2 linked regions of the Caenorhabditis elegans genome follow. The protein of the gene in region 2 interacts with the protein of the main gene of each other region in a pairwise test. Each region holds a gene or a part of one and is shown on either strand. Other genes may lie near its edges.

Region 1 (10,878 bases), on a different chromosome or scaffold from region 2:
GTTACGATAACTTCATCAACTACAGAACTATGAAAACTGCCGACACAGTCCGCACACAATTGTCGCGTGTTATGGACAAGTACAATCTTCGACGTGTCTCAACAGACTTCAAATCTCGAGACTATTATCTCAACATCAGGAAAGCTCTTGTAGCTGGATTTTTCATGCAAGTCGCTCATCTGGAACGAAGTGGACACTACGTGACGGTGAAAGATAATCAGCTCGTCAACCTTCATCCATCCACAGTTCTCGATCATAAGCCGGAGTGGGCACTCTACAATGAGTTCGTGTTAACCACAAAGAACTTCATCAGAACTGTAACTGATGTGCGCCCTGAATGGTGAGTTAATTTGCAAATTATATTATTCAAAACCTAACTAGATATGCGTTTCAGGCTACTTCAAATCGCCCCTCAATACTATGATCTCGACAACTTCCCAGATGGAGACACGAAACGGAAGCTGACTACTGTGATGCAGACCCTGCAGAGAAACGCTGGCAGAGGCTATTGATGCCTCCGAATCATCTGATCTCATTTCCCCAAACCTCTTTTATCCCTATTGCCCCTTGTCAAATTTTTTGATTGTTTCTATTTATTTTTTGTTTATTTCTTACCCCTTTCTTTTAATTCTATTTTCACTTTTAAATCAATCACCAAATCTAAAAGGATGAACTATTCATTTTATTTGACAATTAATCCGTAAATTTAGAGAAAACCGTAAAGTTATGTTAATTAAAGAAAAGCTCGTCAAAATGTCCTTCTTGCTCTAACCAATCCTCCGCATCAATATCTTCGTCGGATTCAGGATACTCGACGGTCTCATCACTGTCATAGTCACTACCGTCGTTAAATGCCATATCGAAAAGAAGATCGTCATCGTTATCTAGCAAATCGTGATGAACTCCTTCGAACAGACGTCCAGAGCATGATCCCTGAAAATGAAAAATACATTTCTTACACAATTCTAAGAAAAAACCAACATCTCCCTGAAAATGCTTATAAGGATCTTCCTTGTCAAGAGTTTCAGAGCACAACCAACAGAAGTAGGTGTCACACTTCGTACAGTGCATCTTGTGGCATCCTTCATTCTTCTCTATGCTCACCGAGCACTTGGGACACGGTTTGCTGTTCGAATCCAGCCATTCCTCATTGAGGAACCGCTCCACAAGCTCCTCGACACGCTTCTCTCCTCCAAATTGCCTGCACATTTCAGCCTTCTCAGCTTCATCTCCATCCTTCCATCTTTTGACAAGAAGCTCTTTGTCTCCTTTCTTCCATTTGCAGCGTTCTATTCCGTGGAATGTCTGCTTACACAGATTGCAGAACGAAAAGTTACAGTAGGAGCATTCGGCCAGGAAGCGTTGTCTGAAATGTTCTTCTTTTTTACATTTATTTTTATATTTTAAACTATACCTATCCGTGACGTAGGCGACTTTTTGACAATTCTCTCTGGGACACTCCACGGTGTCTTCCATCTCTCGAATCGCCTTCTCCAGCATAATCGTCTCGTATCTGGCGGAAATTCAAATTTGGATTTTTTTTTTTGGAAATGTATCTCACTTTGCATATAAATCATCTCCGAGTGCCTCCTTAACCGTATTTTGTTGTGCTTCACTCTTGCATCCTTCTGCTAGACACTGCATGGCTTTTGACTGTAAATGATCCAATTTTTCCAAAAAAAAAATCGATTGGATCTTACCACAACACCTTTCGATATTGTACGATAATAATCGAAAGTACATTGTTTGCAGAAAACGTGAGAGCACGGCTGGAATTTGATGCAATGTTGGCCCATTTGAGAGTCGTAGCATACCTGGAAGATTGAAAAAATAGTATAATTTTATAACTACGAAAAAATTACTTCACAATCGAAAAGTGTATTGACAAAGTGCTCTTCAGCAGCTTCTTCGCCTTTTCCAAGAATTTTCTTTTTCAGCGATTCAATAGTTTCTCCATTGTTTTTCAGCGCACACGCCTCGTTCAGATTGATGATTTTTAGGTGAGATTGGTCTATCTGAAACTTATTTTTATATATTTAATTTGTTAAAAAGAACAAAAAACTAACCGAATCAATTATCGTTTGATAGCACATAAAAAGCACCTCCATCATCTGGTTTTCCTCGCAAATCCTTGCCAACTCGGTTTCACAAGATGTCATTTGTTCCTGATTCATCCAATAACTTTCCAGTTCAAGTTTTGGTGATGATACTGAGGGATAATCATTTGGAAGATGAAATTTCAATCGGATTGGTGGAAGAATGTCTAGGGGGATGGAAAAATGATCGCTGGAGTCAGACGTTCCTTCAATTGTGACTTTTGGATCGGATAATGTGTCAAATCCTACCTGAAATCAAGAAAAAATTTAATAATAAACTTCTTTATACGCTCAATATTCTACTTCAATTATTCCCCGAATTTCTGCATTTTTATCCGCCCAATCACTGATTCTCGTCAATTTATTCTCCCTTAGCACACTCTCCAGTGCTTCTAGCTCGAATAACTGAGTTTCACGGCTGTCGTCTGACATCTGAAATTTAGTAGAAATTATTTTAACACAAACTAGAACAAGAAAAACTGGTATCGCGTTCAAAATGTTTAGAAATCTAGACTTTTTTAAAAGGGCAAAAAAACCGCTGAAAAAACATGCACCAAACGCGCTCCATCTGACAGAAACAAAGCGTGGATGTTCAAATTCCACTTTTTATTGGAAAGATACGAGTTTTCTAATATATTAGCGCAGAAAATCCCATATATTTATTATTTAAATAACACTGATAAACAATTGATATGCTGAGATTGATAACAACGATTTTGAATGGATTAAGGTTATATTTACAGAAGGCGAACTGAGCAGGTGAGCAAACGCCGAGCTGAAATCACTTGTATATACAGTCAGATAGCTCGTCGTTTCTGGGGATGGAGCACAAGGGAAAGACGTTGGGCAGTTGAGAAAATTAGACGTAAAATACACAAAAAGAAGAATTGCTCATAGAGCACAGATTATTTAAATTTCCACAGTTTTTCCATCTTCGGAAACTCGGATTTGACGAGCTTCAACCACTGCTTGAGTTGGTGCATTACGAGTCATTACTTCAACTTGAGAAGCCATTGATGGGTTTGCCCGATTAAGAGCCTCGGTTTGTCCTGGAGCTGGGAATGGAGCTTGAATTGGGGCAGGTGTTGATCTGAAAGATTTGAGATTTTTCGAAGAGAGCAATAGAGGAGAAACACAAAAATCGACTAAGCATCAATCAATTTTGATATGATTGAATTCTCCGAGAGTGTTACACGGATTGGAATCTTTTTAGGAATACCATGTAACGCCTGCTTCCTGCCTCCCATGCAACCTGCGCCTGCCTACATGCGCGTCTTGCCTACCATGAAAAACTCAATGCTCACCCCGAATCGTTCATAGCATTGAGCTCATTCTTAACGTTCTCTGGAGCCTTAAGCATAAGTTTGTCAAGTTTCTCCTGCTTCTTCTCTACACTCATTTTCTTGTTTTCCATAATTTTCTTGGCCTCTTTCTCAAGCTTCTTCGCCTGTTTGCTAAGCTCTGGAACTGGAGAGGAGACGGTCATCTTGTTGTTTTTCATGATCAGTCTTTTGTGAATATCAGCGAATTTGGACTGAAAAATGTTTGTGTTTGTTGAGAAAAAATTATTTATCTTCTTACCCTTATCTCATCACTCTCATTTGCTAGAACTCTTCGAATATGCATTTGCTTCTGCTCCATATTCATTCTCTGCTCTCCAATAATTTTCTTGATCCGATCCATGGTTTCGCGTTGGTTTTGACGCCAAAATCCCGGTTTGGCCCGTTCCATAGCTCGCTCGCGGTCAGTTTTCTCCATGGGCTCACCGAAGTTGGCTTCTCCAATTCTGAAGGAAAATCAAGATTATTTGTTGCTAAGGTACCGTCTAAAGTGAGTTTTGAATAGATTATCGTTGTAATCTGGCGCTACGGTCAGTTTTTTACTAAGTGGCCGCGAGGAGATAAAACTTGGCCACCTATTCCGGAACTTACCTTGCTCTCATATAACCAAATGGCCCAAAGTCAAATGGATGCTCCCGATGAAAATATCCTTGTGGTGGATTCATGTTGAAAGATGGTCGCCGACGTGGCTCTTGTGTTGGGATTGTTGGAAAACCCTGGAAAATGAATGTTCAGAATTTTCAATAAGGCTTGGTAGGCAGACTCGTTTTCATGAAAGCTTGCCTATTATTTTTTGGTTTTTTTTCTTGCTGGACTCTGGTGTTTGGTGTTGTTTTCATGAAATCTTCAGTCCTTGGTACCTACGTGCCTGTCTACACGCCTACTTTCAATGTGCACAATCTTGATACAAGCGTAGGTGAATGAAGGCAAGCAAGCAGGCGTTTGTGTTCTGATCTAGTTTCAATTAGAAAAATCTACACAACATACCGAAATGGTTGTGACCTTGTAATAATTAACCTTGGGATTTTCGCTACGTGGCCGCGGAAAGCAAAAAACTCGGCCACCGATTTTTTGGCTGACTTGTTGCAAAACAACTCAAAAACTATATTTTAGATGTGAAATCTCTGCCGAAACTGCCACTTAAAAATCCTACAAGCCAAGAAAACTCACATAATAAGCATTAACATAGTCTGGCATGGCAGCTCCCTCATTAGCATCTCCGTATAAAGTTCTCTTGTAGTAAAAGCCGTTGACAACCGCCGAAAATAGAGAAATCAAAAGAATACGTTTCATTTCCAACAACCGACTAGTACAAAAAAAGGAGTCAACTGTGCACGGTCGAGTGGAGTGGACAATGGTCAGCGAGGGGGATCGGGAGGCTCCGAGAGCACACTGTTTGGGAGTAAATAGAGACCTTTGACGGGAGGCGAGGAGGGGCGGTACCACACGATCTAGGCGCGCTCTCGGTGAACCGATAAACCTATACCGTTTCCGGCTTTTTACGTTTAAAACTTTTGGGTTAGAGCTCTCTCCGCGAGGCGATGAGCACACCATGAACAGTGCAGATATCTGACAAGGTGTGCGGGAGAAGTAAATATAGACATTGGGGATGAGGTAATGACGTGCAATCACGAGTATCACCTCTTTTTGAAGGGCATTGCGGTTCATTGCAACGTGGCCGAGAACAAGAAATCGGTGGCCGAGTTTTTTAAATCCTTAGTAGACTGGAGCTTAGTCAAGCATACCTCCCTGCCTACAAATGTTGACTACGTAGATTTATTCTTGTTCTGCCATTTCATTAAGAGATAATGGGAGGACACCCCGACTCAACGAGTTTGGAATAGCTTTATTTGGTACAATAATCACTTTTTTCGTAAAAAGACATGGTTTTGGAAAGAGAATGAAAAATTGGTGTGATCGGGAAAGTAGGGAAAATGGGAAAAATTATCACATAGGTCAGGTAAGTTTGCTGCAAAAAAGGGGCATTGGGATTTAAATAAATGTGTATAGAAAATTGGCACCTTTTTGGAGAAAAATCTGAAAAATTCCATAGAGTGTCGGCAAGAAAGTTTTGAGAAAGTGGAAAAGGTCTTCAACAGAAAACGTTGGCCAATACCAAAAATATAAAAATTTGTGTAATATTAGTTTTCGATGTCAATTGGTAGATCGTCATCATCCTCGTCCGATTCCATGGCACCATTTTGCACTGCCAACTTAGCCTTTGCTGTCTCCCTCTGAATTCCGGAATTCTCGGATACTTCCATGTATCCCACGGCGTTCGGGTTAACTGTCCAAGCATAAGCTCGAGCTTTAGCCTCGTAATTTTCACTGGAACAAGATAATTTTAAAAGTTAAGTGTTCTCTTTTCTCTGTTCAACGACGCTTAGCTCCAAATCGAAGTGGCCTAGAAGAATAGGTGGCCGAGTTTGTTCACATTTGCAGCTGTGCGCCGTTAAAATATATCTAACCGCTGATTCTCATATTCCATCCAGGCTTCAATATTTGCAGCTTGAGTAAGATCGGGCGTTGCAAGTAGATTGCTGATTTCCCTCAGAAGTTTCTTGAGTGAAGTTTCAGAAGACCAGTGCTCTTGTTCCAGCATTTTAAGATAAATTGATCCTGTAAAGATTTTTGTAATAATGCGTTTCTTTTTGCTACCGTTTTCTGTATTTCACACTCAAACATATTTTTTCGAAACAGTTCTAACCAACCTCTGAGGTCCACGTTCGGATGATGAAGCGGCGTTTTGAATTCACAAATTGGCGGAATTATAGGCCATTTGTGAAAGTTCACGGAAACCTGGAGATAATATACTTTTGCGAACTAAAAAGTAATTAAACCTCATATTCCCCTCCCTCCCAGGGGCTTCCTCTCGGTCCAGGTACTGTACATATCCAAGAACACCATATGTCTGCGCCCTCAAAACTAATTGGCTTTGCCGTATACCCTTGCGGTGTTCTCTGAAAAAAAGTTATTTCGACACATGCCACGCCCACTTTTGAAGTAGGCATAAATCAGGCCTAGGTCCCAGGTAGGCAGGCGAGTTAAACTTTGTGTGAAAGCTTACCTCATCCCACTTGGCTTTCTCCTCCTTCACAGTGTTGATTTCATTGGTGAATTCGCGTGAATTGGTTTCAACGTCGAATAATAGCGCATCGGCAGTTTCGCGAAAATATGAGAGATCAACATATTGTCTGTTGCTACGTCTTCGCATGTTTCTGAAAGCTTAAGCTCTAATCTGGAAAGTCAAAGTAATCCAATTCGTGACGAAGCTTCCGGAGCCGCGTTAACTGAACCTAAGCTGGATCTTATTTGAAAAAGCTACAGTGAATATATTCTTAAAGCGCACAAAACGTTGCATATTATCCCACGAGGCCTAAGGCAACCAGAAGCTTCAAACAAAAAGTGAAGAAGAGAGTATGAATACGTGGGATAATATCACAAGTTGAAGAAGAGGCAGGTACGAGAGAAAAAGAGCTACATAATCACACAGAAGCGGATGCCGTCTCTCTATCATTAGTACGTTGTCCTAGAGATGGCCTCTTTCTCTCTCGCGCCCTCTGTTTTAGAATTGAGCATGTAACAAAAACTACACGTGCTCTCAGATTATGTATGTGTGTGTGTGTGTGTGAGCTACTTGATTCCGACGGGTTGGAGGATTAAAGGTATATCTGATGTTGGGCACACTTTTAAACGTGGAATGACGCAACTCCTCTGCCACACACTGCACACGCTTTTTCATTCAGCTAAAATTTATCATGACGAGACCGGATACCGTACGCGGCAGAACCCATGTGGTGTCTTCAAAATGCCCAAAATGATCATGATCATCAATACGACACCAAACATCAACCTCCGCATTGATTGACAATTTTCACATTCTAATTGAATTAGCATTTCGAACTATAAAAATGCTCAGTTCGCCATGTAGCCAAACCAAAATATGCGTCTTCCAATTTTTCTTCTAGCTCTTTCAAGTGCTTCTATTGTCTTTTCATTGGATCCAGTCCCCGAAGAATATGCCAACGTACCGAAGGAGTTCTTCGAAAAGTTCCAGGCAGCTATCAAATCAGGGGACCCAGTTGCAGTAGTGGATCTTTTTGCTCCGGATGATATGCTTCGTAAGTACGATATCAGAAACAATTTTGAAATTTAGTTATTTTCAGCTGTCAGTGGCATGATTGAAGCGGCACAGGGAATCATCAAATCTTTTGAATCTTATCCGACCGGAATAATTGAACGAGTTCGCTACGAGTATGGAGTCATTCAGATTAATGTCAGATATTACCCCAACACGCCCCTTTTGTCCAAAAAAACGACTATTTTCAAGATAAAATACGAGGTAATCAGGGAGTTGGACTAAAATTTTATCCAGCCGCAATCACCAGAATAGATTTGTAGATAAATTTTAATTTGCAGAACAAATGGAAAGGCTGGACAATGGTGCACTTCAGTGATTGGATGTAGTTTCATATTCGAATATCGGGACTTGTATGACCTAAATAAATGTTTTAAATATATTTAAAAATGTTTCGAAAACTTTTCAGAAATCAAATTGGCTGTTACATTTTACCTATCCACCAAAAATTGACAGAATGATACACGGCCTATTGAAGAAATGGTAACAAATCCGTACAAAGTTTTCAGATATTCACAAAACGCAGTAAACGAGAAGAGTCGACTTTCTGGAAGTTTTCCCTTTTCACATGATTTTAATATTCTTTCATTTTTGAACATTGTGTTTTTCTATTCTGTTGGAATAGCTTTAGTTTTTTATGAATCGATAGATTTTATCAATTCCTGAAGAATAAGGTACATGGATAGATACATTTTTCAAAAATTTTAGTGAAAGGTTTGGCAAATTGAAAAATTGAACTTTTGGGGGCAATTTCAAGCATTGCTGCAAATTTGAACTCTTCGATTGTTTAAATACAAACAATTGAAACGCAATTAAAGTACACATCACGTAGAGAAAAACACAATTTAAGTTGAACAATTTCTCACTGATAATACTCTAAATTTAAAGTTTCAAATTGTATTTCTCATCGTTTCCACAACAGGTTATCTATCACATTGCGCAATTTTACTCATTACAATTTTGCAATATTTCGCAATATTTTAGTAATTAATTTTGATTTTTGTTCCGCAAACTTTCCTCATATATTGTTTGAACATTTTTGACTAATAATGTAAAATATTTTCTATAAATTCCTGAACATTCATTTCTAAATTACCTAAACTCCGTCTATTGAATCTCTGCGTCTCTTGTCTAAAAATCGATAAAAAATGACTGATCGTGACCTGCAAATATATGAATTGGAAGCATTGGAAAGTGTTCTAAGAGAGAAGAAACTGGCGAAATCCAGTGATTGGAGTGATAAGAATGCTGAAATCCAGGGAATTATTGAGGTAAAGATTTTGGTTTTTTGAGAGAAGCTGGGGTATTTTAACTTTTAAAAAAGTAATTTAATGTCCACTAAATAACAACAAAAAATTATTTATCTGAAACTACCCTTACTATATTTTAGCTACACTTTCTACGTAATTATGTAAGTTATCAAAAATATTTAAGGTAACAAAGTATAGAAAATTTCAATAGCCTCCATAATCATTAGCCCGAAATTTTGGCCACGGTTGACTATTTTCCTGTACGAGATAAACTAATATGGCCATATATGGAGTAAAGTATTTTTTAGAAGAGTCACTAAGTTACGGTTGAAAGTTGGTTAGTTGGTTTTTTTAAATGAGTTTTAGAATAGTCAAGTGCAATTTCAGGTCGGATTTGACAACTTATACGATCCAACAGTCACAATTGAAGGAACATCTGACTCCGGCGATCAATTTCATCTTCCTCTTGACATTCTTCCTCCAATTCGACTAAAATTCCATCTTCCAAATGATTATCCCACCGTATCATCACCAAAACTTGAACTGGAAAGTTATTGGATGAATCAGGAACAAATGACATCTTGTGAAACCGAGTTGGCAAAGATTTGCGAGGAAAACCAGATGATGGAGGTGCTTTTTATGTGCTACCAGACAATAATTGATTTGGTGAGTAGCGAGAATCAAATAAAAAGCACCATTATGAGCCGACATCTCAGACACGTAAGGTGTCCTCTGCTAAATTTAACTGCAGCCGACATTTTGCTGGTTCGTTATTGAATGACATAGATGGGCTACCCGCGATATGTCGTCTGCAAAGCGTTCTGAGATGTAACGGTCTACACAGATAGTAGAAATTACATATTCATTAGAAGTAGGATGTTGATTAGAAGACCGACATCTCACGGGTATGCCTTTGAGCGAATTTAAATCTAGATATCTCATGCAGAATTTAACTTTTTTAATTCTGCGGAATGTCGACTGCTACGTTCTTTGATTCAAGCAGCTGGCGTCTTTTTCAACTATCAAATTTCAGATGGCCCAGAACACTCCGAAAATTATAAATTTGAACGAGGCATGTGCACTGAACAGACAAGGAGAGACTATCGAATCTCTGAAAATGAAAATACTACAGAAAGAAGAGGAAGCTGTTGAAGAACAGTTTGTTAATACCCTCTACGATTGCCAAGTAACGTTTGTATTTTTTTTCTAATTTTTCATCAAAATTTCCAGGTATGCTTCGAATCCCAAATGGGACAGCACTGCATAAAGTTCCAGCCATGTTCTCATGTTTTCTGCAAATCCTGCACTTTCAACTATTATATTTCTATTGCCAAGGGGTTTGTGGTTAGTTTGAATTTTCTTAGCTGATATATTTTTATTGGATTTTTCAGTCGAAACCAATGTCATGTCTAGCAGAAGGATGTGAAAATGAAGCCCAACAGGGTATGGTGCAAGAGGCTCTAGGAGAGGAGCTGTTTGCAAAGTAAGATTCCTAGGAGATTGACAAGTATTTGATTAATTTTTAAAGGTATGAAGCTCATATGCTAGAAAAAGCAATTCGAGAAATGGATGATTCAATGGAATGTCCAAATGAAAATTGCCAAATGGTGGCTTATCTAACTGACAGGTAAAATTTAGAAAAATGTGTTGTGTTGCTATTAGACTATCAGAACTCGTGAATTTTTCTTGAACTTTGTGTCTGGAGCTCTGTGATTGTCGGTTTGAAATTTGAGTGTTGAAATTTGTTGAGCCCGCTGGATTTCTCGTATAAAATCTTTGGGTGCCCATAATTCTGCTCACAATGACTCTCAAAGACTTGATTTTTTTGAGCGTATGATAAGTTCACAAAAACATTTTTTCAGCCAACGCAACCTTGTTGAATGCTCCTATTGCAATTATTCTTTCTGCAATTTGTGCAAAGGAACGTTCCATGGAGTCTCAAGGTGTAAATTTAGAAAAGAAGACGAGGAGAGAATAATGAAAGAATGGAATGAAGCAGATGAAGCAGGAAAAGAAGAAATGTATAAACGGTATGGAGAGAAGAACATGAAGGC
Region 2 (11,106 bases):
AAATGCGGAATTCCTTCTCTTAACTTGCCGAAAATGGAATTATGTTTAGTACATCCTGTGAAGAGAGGGGGGAGAACTTGATGAACTGGACACGTTGGTCATAAAAAGTTTGGGCGGAGTAGAAATTGAAGGGGAAAGCGGATTTATGAATATATCACTTTATTGGTGTCTTATGAACCGTTCACAAAGTACGAATCGGGTCTAGGAAAAGCAGGCTAAACGCAAAGAAAATTTGGTTTTATGGGGCCTAATAGATATTTATGGGAAGATTGTAACGTTTTCAAAAGTGGAATAATGCCACATCCAAGATTTTTGAAAAAAAAAACAAAAATTAATACAAACTGAATGCATGTTCCCTGAAGATTAACACAATGAATTTGTTTTAAAATTTTAAAATTTAATATTGAACGTTCACATTAAAATGTATTTTAGATATGAAAATGGCAAAAGATTATTTTGAACTGTTTTATTATTTGTCACACATTCCGATTGTTCAAAATACATTATTAGCTTTATTTTGTGCAATTTTAGGATGTAGTTTATTTGATCATTTAACCCAGACTTCATTCCGGAGACTAGCGCGCTAAACCAATGAATCATTCATTATATTCCATTGGCTCCTCATTCATCACTTCCAGTCGGATGAATCACCTCTTTCCGCCAACTTTTTTCGGCTCTTTCCATGTGAAAGATATAAGGAAACAGAAACTTTATAAAAACAAGTGGACTGTGGCTAGTGTCGCAAGTGCAAATAATGACGATGTTAAGCGACTCGGAACTGGAATGCGTGGTGTTGGTAGTTGTGGTCAGCGATTGCAGTGCGCGTGTATAGCTCTTTTCTTTCATCCATTCAATCGGCGACAAAGTATCAGATTACGCATGTTTCGCAAAACCTAAGATTCATGCGTGAGAGCCGCGCTAAGAAGGGAAATGATTGAGTTGTTCAAGTGCCATGAAAAGTATTAGGGACAAGTCAAAAATAAGGAAATTTGAATTTGATGTACGGAACTATAGCGCGCTGGTGCGTATGCTTCATCAAGTTTGCCAATTTTCATATCATCCTTTAATGGACAAGGTTTTCAGGCTTGGCTAAAGTGAATACAAGGGACATTAAACGAGTATATATATATTTCTCTGTGCAAATCGATTCTAACAATTTTGAATGAATTCTTTGAATATGGCCATTTGAACTTTCTATCAAAACTGGTAGTTGCGCATGACATAACATGACATTTTTATCTTTTTCCACAATCTCCCAATCTTACATCTGTTTCCTAATTTATGAACAATTAAGAAAAAAACGAGAGAGAACAGTTTGAAAAGATGATAGCTCTTTTTCTCCTTCTCTTTAATTTTCTTGGTTCTCTGTTTTTCAAACAGCTATTTTGAAAATTTCTATCAAGAGCAATAGCATTAATTTTTACAATCAAAGACCAAAATGGGTAAAGAAATCGGAAAAGAAAAATGTTTGCATTTTACACAATGTGCGATCTTCGGGTGAATTGATTTAGGTTTAGGGTAGCCGGCGAGCACGAAAAAGCGAAAAGCAAAGAAACTATATTGTTGACTACCTAAGAGCACTTTTTCAACAGTCCAAAAGTGGAATCTTCAAAAAAGATAAAATAAAAATGAAAATACTTCAATGCGGAGATTAAACCAGTTTATTTTTTTCAGTGGATCGAATTTCAAAAAGGATGGATTGTACTGAGCGTCGGACTTGTTGCGATAAGTGTGCTCTTTGTGGTTTTTTATTTCTTCTACAAGTAAGAAACAACTAGTGAACTTTTACAAGAAAATCAATATTTTTTTTCAATTCTAGGTGCTGCGTGTGTATTTGCTCTCGATCCTCTAAAAAACAGAATACTGATGCAAGATATGACGGATGCAAACGAAGCATGTGCAATCTGTTGTTATTTGTACTGGTCAGTGCGAATGCGTAAGTTTCTAACCATTTTTATTAATTTTGAAGAGCATAAGAAAAGTTAAACACTATTTCTTTGACGCGTATGTATTAATTTTGATTACTTTCTAGGTTTGTTGCTTTTACCCTGTTAATGACAAGCCAATATGCTCAAATTGGTTTGGATAAGCTTCCAAATCGGATGAATCAATGTGTCGACGATTTGCAGTCATACAAAAGAGACAGTGATATGGTAATTTTTGTTGTTTTTAAATGGTTACTTGAATTTTATAATTACAGAGAATACGAAAGTTGCTCATCGATGATTACCAGGTCCTCAATTCAACCATTACCAAACAACTATCCACTGCCGGATATAATGTAGTGGACCGCGTCAAAAAACTGACTGGCGCACATGTCATTGACGTTTTCATGAACATTAGCAAAGGTAAGGTCATATTTATAATTACGAAATGTAAAAAAAAACACATCGGTATTTTTTAGTGGCGCAAGAAATGCACGATGGGTTGGAGTCAGTTCATGGAAAGGTCAGATTTCTAAACGAAGAAGGTTCACGGTTTGAAGTACTTATTAAAACTCTTATTCTCAGTTTAATTGTAATATTTTTAGGCTGAGTTCTCACGATTACGAAATACGGCTAATGAAGAGCTAGTCAAGTGTCTTGAAAATGAGCTCGAGCCGGTTAGAAGCATGTGTGCAAAAGCAGAACGACTCCTTGAGAGTCTCGCTGTCACTCAATTCAAAATTGACCAAGTGAGTTGTACTAAAGACGGGGCGTTTTCTATAATTAAAAAAAACAACACTTATTTTCAGAAATTCCTGCCCGATGCAACTGAGACCGGGCTTTCCGAAATTGTCAATGCGAATATTACTCAAGTACTCGCTGCATCCAACAATCAATTTGAGCAATTAGAGAGCAGAATACAACACGAAATTGACAAAGAAACATATTGTAAGACAATAACACTAGAAATGTTATACATTCATATATATTTTTAAGCCGCTCAAAATATGTTGAAACAAATCGGAGATGATCTGTTTCTGGTAGCTGAAACAATTTCGACTCAATTGCGCAAAGTAACATTTGAAGCTTTGTATAGCACTGTTTCTTATGTATCGGACCCTAAAAAAACACCAACTCTCAAATACATGCAATACAGGTAGGTCTTATCAGAAAGGTCTACAAATTTGATATTTATGATCTCAGTTTGAAAACTTCCTTTTTTGTTTTGTTTTTGTGAAACCAATTATTTGGTATTATTAGAATAATATTGCCAAATTTACAGCTGGTATGCGTCTCTTGTTATCACAAGTTTGTTTATTCTCCTGGCTCTCATTTTCCTATTTGGAGTTCTTTATGGAATATGTGGTCGACGTCCAACTTATTACAACGATGATTGTTGTGTAAGAAGCACTGGCGGAAAGTTTTATTCTTTGTAAGTTTTATATTACAATTAAATTAATCATAGGTTTAAATTTCAGTGGAATTGGGGCTTTTCTTCTTATCTTTGTCTTCCTGGCAGTGGGAACTTCTGCATTGATGTTTGCTGTTGGAAACTTCTCAAACTTGGTGTGCCAGCCCATGAGAAATCCCTTGAGCCATCCGGAATCGTTATCGGTTGGTTCATCTTTGTTCTCCCAAGTATAAAGATTTTTGCAGCTTGCTGATAGATATATCAATCTTTGGAAAGCAAATCACACACCTGAAAATGATATCGAGGTTACTCTTCAGTCGAAATCGCCGGCAGAAATTATTAGAGCGTGTTCAAGAAACGAGACGCTGTACAACTTTTATGGATTTGACAAAAAGTATCATTTGAACAAACTACAGGTACTAACAAAACTTATACATAGATATGTTAAATATAAATTTTGCAGGATTTTGAAAAAGATGCATACAACCAACTGCAAATTTCCTTGCGAACAACTATGGAAAATATGCCGGAAATTCGTCCGCTTGATGCATTCATTTCAAGAAGCGAACTTCGAGATTTGGAGAAACTCGCCTCAGTGAATGTTTCAAAAGTTAGCCAACAAGGCCTGAATGCGGTTTGTAGATTGGAAACATAATTGAGCAATTTTTAACTTTGAGTTTCAGATAAAGCATGCAATGGATGAACTCGACTTAGCATCCAAAACGCGGGAATTCGAGGAATCTCTAGACGCAAATTCGGGTCGTCCTAAGGCAGTGACTCTTGTTCTTGAACAAATCAGAGAGTTAGAGATTCAATTTGCGAAACCATTAAGGAGCAGATTAGAGGCATTGTACTCTAACATTACTTCACTCGATGAAAAGTGAAAATTCTTTAAATGTTGAATTCCTATAAAATACTTATTCCAGACTTTCTCAGCTTCAAGTTCCTGTTTCTTCTCTTCTTGTAAAGCTTCAGCATGCTCAGGCTTTACTGGCTGAAAACATGAGAGAGCATTTCGGTCGTGCAGCTAAAGAAGAATTCCAACAAATGGTTAACAACATCGACCAGTACATAGTTCATGTCAAAAGCCAGGTAATAACGCAAAAGTGTTTCAAAAAATTCTATAATTGCTTGACTTTTCAGATGGAGAGCGAGGTCACGTCATGTCAACCGTTGACACAAATTGCCCGGCAAACAACTGCTGCTGTTTGTGCTTACACAATTGATCCATATGTAAAAATGACACAAAAATTGGGGAACTGTTTTCAATTTATAATTTCAGAACGGGACATGGATGTGTATGCTGATCTGCCTAGTTCTGTTGATACCAATTGTGATAATTTCAAACTCATTAATAGGTTTATACTCTAAGATGCACGCGTTCCCAAAATAGTAAGTTTCACAATTTTATTTAAAGAAAAGTGTCACAATAACTTTAGCTTAGCCATTTTTTCGAAAAATAACCCTTAACTTTGCAATTTTGAATATAATTTTATATATTTCAGCATTGTGGAACCACCATCTGAAACACATCACATGTCATCGTTCATTACCGATACATATGACACTAGGCCTAAGCCGTAAGTTAGCATATTAATATCAATTGGAATATTTTTTGAAACTACACATTTTGAAATGATCTTTCAAATACTCGGTATCAGAAATAAAACGAGTTCAGTTTGAAACACAAAAACCAACAATAAAGATCAAAAAGTTGATGTAGCAAATTACCAACAAATACTGTTTTAGAAAAATTTTGCATTATTACAAATGCGACAAAAATGTTTAATGTTTGCCAGAACCCAAAAAATATTAAATAATGAAAAAGTAACAGCCCTGCTATTGAAATCTGGATATGAAAAATGTTCTAAATATAAATTCAAATGTTTCAAAAAACTATTTTTTTCAGTGGATACGCAAACTACACCTACACAGATGATTATCAACGTAATTATCGATGAAGAGCCTCAGAAAATGTATTATCACAATTGCGCCTACTTAATTAAAAAATGCATGTATTTATGTCGACAATTCAGTTGAAATTTTCTTTCATTTCATTTGATCGCACCTAGAATCTACGAGTATCATTTTCCCATTATTCATTTCTCCCAGTCCCATGTTCTTTTTCTTAAAATCTACTCAAGTGAACCGCTCAATTCTACGCACACAGTTTTTCTATTCAGTGCCATTTTTGCATTTCCGTTTTTTCCTCAAATTCGATCTTCAGTTGTTTGACTTTTTTTCAGTTTCCGTAACTTTTACTGATAGAATTATCATTTATGTGATGATTCCCCAATTGCGGTTCGTATTTGAATAAAAACATTAAACCACCCTCCACGTTGGTTCAGTTCTTCCAAAAGCGGATTGAAGTTGATAAGAGTTAAGATAAGAACAAATGTTGCGTGCAAACAATTCGTGATTTATTGTTTTTATATTTAAAATAATGTATATAGTTGTCCACGTTTTGGTGTCTCTTTAAAAAAATCATAAAGAACTAGCACGCACCGTAAAACTCACTACAAATAATTGAAAATCCCATTTATTTATTATTCATGCATTTATTAAAGAGTCGTTATTTTCATTGTATTTTGCATCAATAGATCTACAGTTAAGAAAAGCAAAGGTTACATTGTTGCAATTCTAACCCTCCACATTTCAATTACTATCTAATCGTGATAAGACAAGGACACACTACGTCGTAGTATGATACGGACAGTGTCCTCGCTCCTCCGGCAATCGATGGTCGTGTTCAATCATTTTCATATCTCTCCTTTTTTTTGGTTTTATTTGTAAATTTTAATGAGTATAATCTCAACAATTTCCTCTTATTTTTAACTGAAAAATTTAGGAAATAATGAGTACGACTATTCGTGCCTCGCAGCTGGCTTCGTCAATTTCTCCAAAAACTGAAGAAAAGCAGCCATCGGTTTTTGATATAATCGCTCAAGAAAATCTTGCAACATCAATCAGACCGGCTTTACAGCATCTTGTAAAAGTATGTTAAGAATAAAAGTGAAACGAATATTTGAAATTGAACATTTCAGTATCTAGCATTCTTCAAGCCAAAAACATTTCTTTCGGTTCACCGAAACTTTGATGAATACTACATCATATTCGATCTCATTTTGCAAAACCACTATTTGAGAAACTATGGTACGTTTTTTAATTCCAATTTTTCACCTAAAGATAATGTGTTTCAGGAGCGTCGTTCACGGAAAACTTTTATTCTATGAAGCGAATAGCATCAGGCACAGGAAATCCACCGAACGATGGTAGGGAAAGAATAATGTCGCTTATTACATTAGTCGGATGGCCTTATGTAGAGAATAAATTGAATCAGCTTTATGACAGGCTCAAGGAAGTTTACGAATGCAGAAGCTGGTCATCAATTAATGTATGTATAGACAAATAAATTTGAAATATCGTTTATAATTCCAGGGCATGAAAGCAAAGTGTCAAAAAATGTTTGTGATCATTTGGCCATACATCAAGACAGCTCTTAAGGCAGTGAAAAGTGCTCTACAACTTGCATACATTTTGAACCGCAGCTCCATTCACTCGCCATGGCTTTACTTCTCAGGCGTGATTCTGAAACATCTTACGCCAGAAGACTTGGAAGCTTTCAATGCTGTTCCTCTTCATCTCCAAACTGGGTATCAAATTTCTAGAGGAACATTAAACGAACATATTCATTTAAGATTCTTCAATCGCATCTGGAGATTTATTTTGGGACTACCTGGAATCGTTTCAAGGCTCTTTGCTTATGGGCTCTTCTTTGTACAGTTTTTGGATTATATGTACAACACAGATTTGGCAAAACTTACAAAGACTGGCCTTGACGGAGCTATTCCTTCACCTCCACACAAAATGATCATATCTGAATCGGAAATTTTGAGTTTGGACACCAATAAATGCCCAATTTGTTTGAAGAAAAGAGTTAATGATACTGCGCTTTTTGTATCTGGATATGTATTCTGCTACACATGTATCAACCAATACGTAAACACTTATAACAAGTGAGTTTTCTTTATTTTAAACTATCAATTATTTGAGAAAAATTTCAGATGTCCAGTGACAGGATGCCCGGCAAACGTTCAGCATTTAATCCGTTTGTTTGTATAGCGCTACAAATTTAATTTTGAATCATGTTACGACAAATAAAATTACAAAAATATTCATTTTTAAAACACGAGCAAATATTCCAGCAAATTCAACTTTTCGTTGTGTTGGGCATTGTACAAAAAACGCAAGTTTACAAATTATTCTCATCAATGACAATTGTTGGGACTTGATTTGTTGAATCGATGGTTTCACTAACATTTTTACTGCGTCTTAGACCCCTTCTTGGGTTAATTCTTGCGTTGGTTGCATCTTTCCGGATTGGACTTCTGATTACGTAGCTGAAAGTTCATTTATGAGTTCTTGATCAAAAATTCATCTGAAATAGAATTTAAAATCGTACACAATATCTCCGGACTCTAGTTCCAAATCTTGAGCAGGATTGATGATGACATATGAGATTTGCGACTTTTCATCGCTTCCTTCGAGCACTGAAATTTAAAATACAGTTCACCACGTCTAACCGCACCAAGAAAAATGATCACACTGAAGCAATTAGAATTAAACTTAAAGAATCTTCAACCTTATTATGAAATGAAATAAAAGTAAATAGTAAGTATTAAAGTAAGTTTTCTAATTTTATTTTGTCTGCTGGTTCACACCACTCTTCGGCTTATACCTGTTGATCTGCACCGGCTAGCATATTTCCAATTGACTAGAAAGGGTTTAAAAATAGAAAACTAATTCCGAATAAAACTTACAAGTATGAGTGTCTTTTATATTAAGAAGTCTCATTCGATTTTTCACATGATCATACATATCTTTGTTTCTTCCCATTTCAGTGTTTTCAAAATCTTTGCATTGTTCTTGAAGATCAAGGGATACCTGAAAATATTAAAAAAAAAAACAATTAGTCGATACTGAGCAGATTTGTGTTTACCGTCTTAGTGTCCATCTTTTTGGTTCTGAAAATACCGATAGGAATATCAGCCACAGAGGAGCATAGTTTTTGATACAATCGTCCATAATTCCGAATCCATAAGTCATCCGATGTGATAACAAACTGAAATATTTATCACATGAAGGTTCACTGCAATTAGTTTGATTGTACCGAAGTTAAATATCCGCCATCACTATGTTGATCAATTCCAAGAAGAAGTCTGACTAGATCAACCACAAACGGTTTGATAATAGCCTGAATATATTACGTTTGAATATGCGGAAATTAAAAAATTAACCTGATAAAGTAATCTATCCAGCATGTTAGCACTAAAAACACCTCCTTGTGCAAATGGTAGTCGGAACATGAACGGCATATGAGAGCCACGTTTTCGTTCCTTTTTTTCAAATCTGGATTGAGCCAATGAATAAGCATTATGTGGATTGAACTGCACGAATCGCATGTTTGTCGCATGCGTCAATTCAGTGATCATTCGAAGTCTTGGGAACATTCGATGAATCTTTTGAACTGTGATAATTGTGTTACAATCTGCAGTATGCTCCTCTGCCATTACAGCTGTCTCCTTGACAACAACCACATGCTCCGCACTGCTTACACCAGCTCGGAGAAGGCAATCCAAACTGTAAGATGATGTATACTTATTGACGAACATATTAATGAACATGATAATTGGTCATCACTGCAACTCCCGCCAGACATCCGAAATTCAAAGACGAGTAGTTTATTATTACATTAAACTAAGGAATAAATAAGTTAGTTCACAGAGTTCACGTTGTACGATCTTCTTAGCCACGTCGTGGGTCAATACACGTTGATACCCAACAATAATAGATAATTTATTTCATGTATTGTTGAATTAAATTTATAAAAACATTCACTTACTTTCCAACTTTTCCCTTCATCCAATAAACATCTGGGAAATATGAGATTGCATCCAAAAATGCATCATTCAACGAATCTTGCTCTTCCAACTCCAAAAGAATGATGATCGGATGTAAATCATGCACTGGTCTGTAGTATGCTCGAAGAGGAATAACTAAATTGTACATGCCACTGCTGGTTCTATCCGCCGCAAGAATAATTGGCCGATTTCTCCATTGGTACTCATGCGCAGAAGTAGCAGATTTATGAGCACATTTTTCATCAAGCTTTAGACAGCAAAGCGACCGACGCTCTTTCATCATGTGGCACACAGTATTAGATGTTCCAATGTATGTTCTCACTTGTGGGTAAGTACGCTGAAGTTTATGTTGTATGCAAGGTCCACGGCATTTGTCGCAAATCTCTTCTTGATCAGAATCGGACGAGCTGTCAATTTTCCCCTCAGTAACCATTGCAATTGACGGGCGACGACTAGATTGAACATGTTCTCCAACTTCAATTAAGTGGATCTCATCTGCAGCCTTTTCCTTCCTCTTCTTCTTTTTTCTGCCAACTAACTCGGTTTTGTCAGATCTTGGTACATCTACAGCTACCGTTCCAATATTTGCAATAGTTGATGCAACATTTGCACGTTTTTGCTGGCTTCGGATGCCTTTTCTAAAGTCTGTCAGTGACTCTTCATTGGTCAATCCCATATAATAAACTGTATCAGTTGGCTGAATGATGTGAGAAGATCCTGGGTTTAACTTCATACGTGAAGTGTCCCCATCCGGAGAAACGGCAATCAAACCGATTCCGTATCTGAAAAAGAAAATGCTGAAGTTGCAAATAAGTGATCAACTAACTCTTTATGCGCGTGGAAACTTGTGCTGCTAAATGACTTTCCGACATACTCACAGAAAAATTTGCTGTCTTGAACTTTAATCTGGTACATTTCGTTTCCAGAATGAAATCCATAGACTTTGTGCCACGGTTCGGTAGATTTCTGGCCTTCCCTAGAATGATGACATCATTAAAGATTTTATACGAAATTAAATAAACGTACTCTCCACGAGAGGTGTGCATTAAAAGTGTGATGAAAGTAGAAATTCCCGGGCAGATGCAATTGTTTGCAAGTAGAGCGTATTTAAATTCATCCTCACAAATTAAGACTTCTGAAAGAATGTATGTAATCATCGAGAAAGTAGTAAGAATCGTTTAAAGTTTAAAGAAATACTGCTAATTTTGAACCTATTTTTCTCTATTTTGAATAAGTTTTCTTCGTGGAGTCATACCTGCGTGCTCAATATGCATCTTGGTTTCTGCTCTGAATATTTGCACGTATTGCTTGACATTTGGAGCAAAATCTTTAATAGCCCATGACCGAAGAATTGTGTGTTCATCTGTGGCCACTTTTCTGTTGACATGTCTTGCAGACAAAATGAAGCAAGCTTTTGATGTTGCTACGTTGGCTCTGAAAATTCAATTACCGACGGAAGAACGAAAACAAAAATTGAAACCTCTCCAAGTCTTCATCTCTTAAAGAGCTTCCACGAACGTAATGAACCCGGTTATTCCAAAGAGGAATTTTCAAAAGCATTCGTGTCTGGTTGTCTAATTCAGCTGGCGACAACAAAACAATTTGAATTCTCTGAAGAACAAAAATTATTTTAGAACTGGTGTGTTACTGAAATACCTGGTTTTCGGGGTGGGCGTAGAATTCTTCCAAGAAATCACGAATGAATTCAACTTCCAAAGTAGTGATTGTCACAACAACATGAGATTCCACTCCATTCCAACTACTAAAGTCAGTTCCAGATTTCTGACGTTCAGACCATGTTTGTCCCAGTTCGTCTAGTTGTTTTGGAATCAATCCCAATGCAACGCAA

What was found.
Region 1: the proteins of prx-12 (region 2) and uev-2 interact in a two-hybrid assay, tested with the Caenorhabditis elegans proteins (one study listed by BioGRID).

What each region holds. Positions count from the first base shown.
Region 1 is NC_003281.10:5,578,913-5,589,790, reverse strand, and holds uev-2 (UBC core domain-containing protein), read right to left. Parts: upstream 6,667-10,878; 5' UTR 6,651-6,666; coding exon 6,504-6,650; intron 6,397-6,503; coding exon 6,277-6,396; intron 6,236-6,276; coding exon 6,148-6,235; intron 6,056-6,147; coding exon 5,905-6,055; intron 5,765-5,904; coding exon 5,578-5,764; 3' UTR 5,269-5,577; downstream 1-5,268. Other genes in the region: Pre-mRNA-splicing factor ATP-dependent RNA helicase ddx-15, read left to right, coding at 1-340, 395-512; F56D2.2 (RBR-type E3 ubiquitin transferase), read right to left, coding at 730-933, 982-1,366, 1,415-1,513, 1,562-1,653, 1,701-1,814, 1,863-2,015, 2,067-2,345, 2,400-2,528; F56D2.3 (DUF148 domain-containing protein), read right to left, coding at 3,006-3,186, 3,401-3,630, 3,678-3,882, 4,028-4,152, 4,607-4,729; F56D2.8 (DUF4440 domain-containing protein), read left to right, coding at 7,380-7,557, 7,603-7,778, 7,856-7,903; F56D2.5 (RBR-type E3 ubiquitin transferase), read left to right, coding at 8,723-8,845, 9,212-9,490, 9,858-10,010, 10,055-10,168, 10,216-10,307, 10,353-10,451, 10,687-10,878.
Region 2 is NC_003284.9:11,387,111-11,398,216, forward strand, and holds prx-12 (Peroxisome assembly protein 12), read left to right. Parts: upstream 1-6,182; 5' UTR 6,183-6,190; coding exon 6,191-6,331; intron 6,332-6,380; coding exon 6,381-6,489; intron 6,490-6,536; coding exon 6,537-6,730; intron 6,731-6,774; coding exon 6,775-6,989; intron 6,990-7,034; coding exon 7,035-7,352; intron 7,353-7,400; coding exon 7,401-7,458; 3' UTR 7,459-7,509; downstream 7,510-11,106. Other genes in the region: prmn-1 (PRoMiNin (5-transmembrane domain glycoprotein) homolog), read left to right, coding at 1,675-1,763, 1,820-1,936, 2,033-2,153, 2,201-2,348, 2,405-2,484, 2,531-2,674, 2,735-2,873, 2,922-3,081 and 10 more; slo-2 (RCK N-terminal domain-containing protein), read right to left, coding at 7,589-7,736, 7,799-7,886, 8,157-8,280, 8,336-8,458, 8,507-8,590, 8,634-8,976, 9,239-10,039, 10,084-10,233 and 4 more. UniProt on the Caenorhabditis elegans protein: Component of a retrotranslocation channel required for peroxisome organization by mediating export of the PEX5/prx-5 receptor from peroxisomes to the cytosol, thereby promoting PEX5/prx-5 recycling.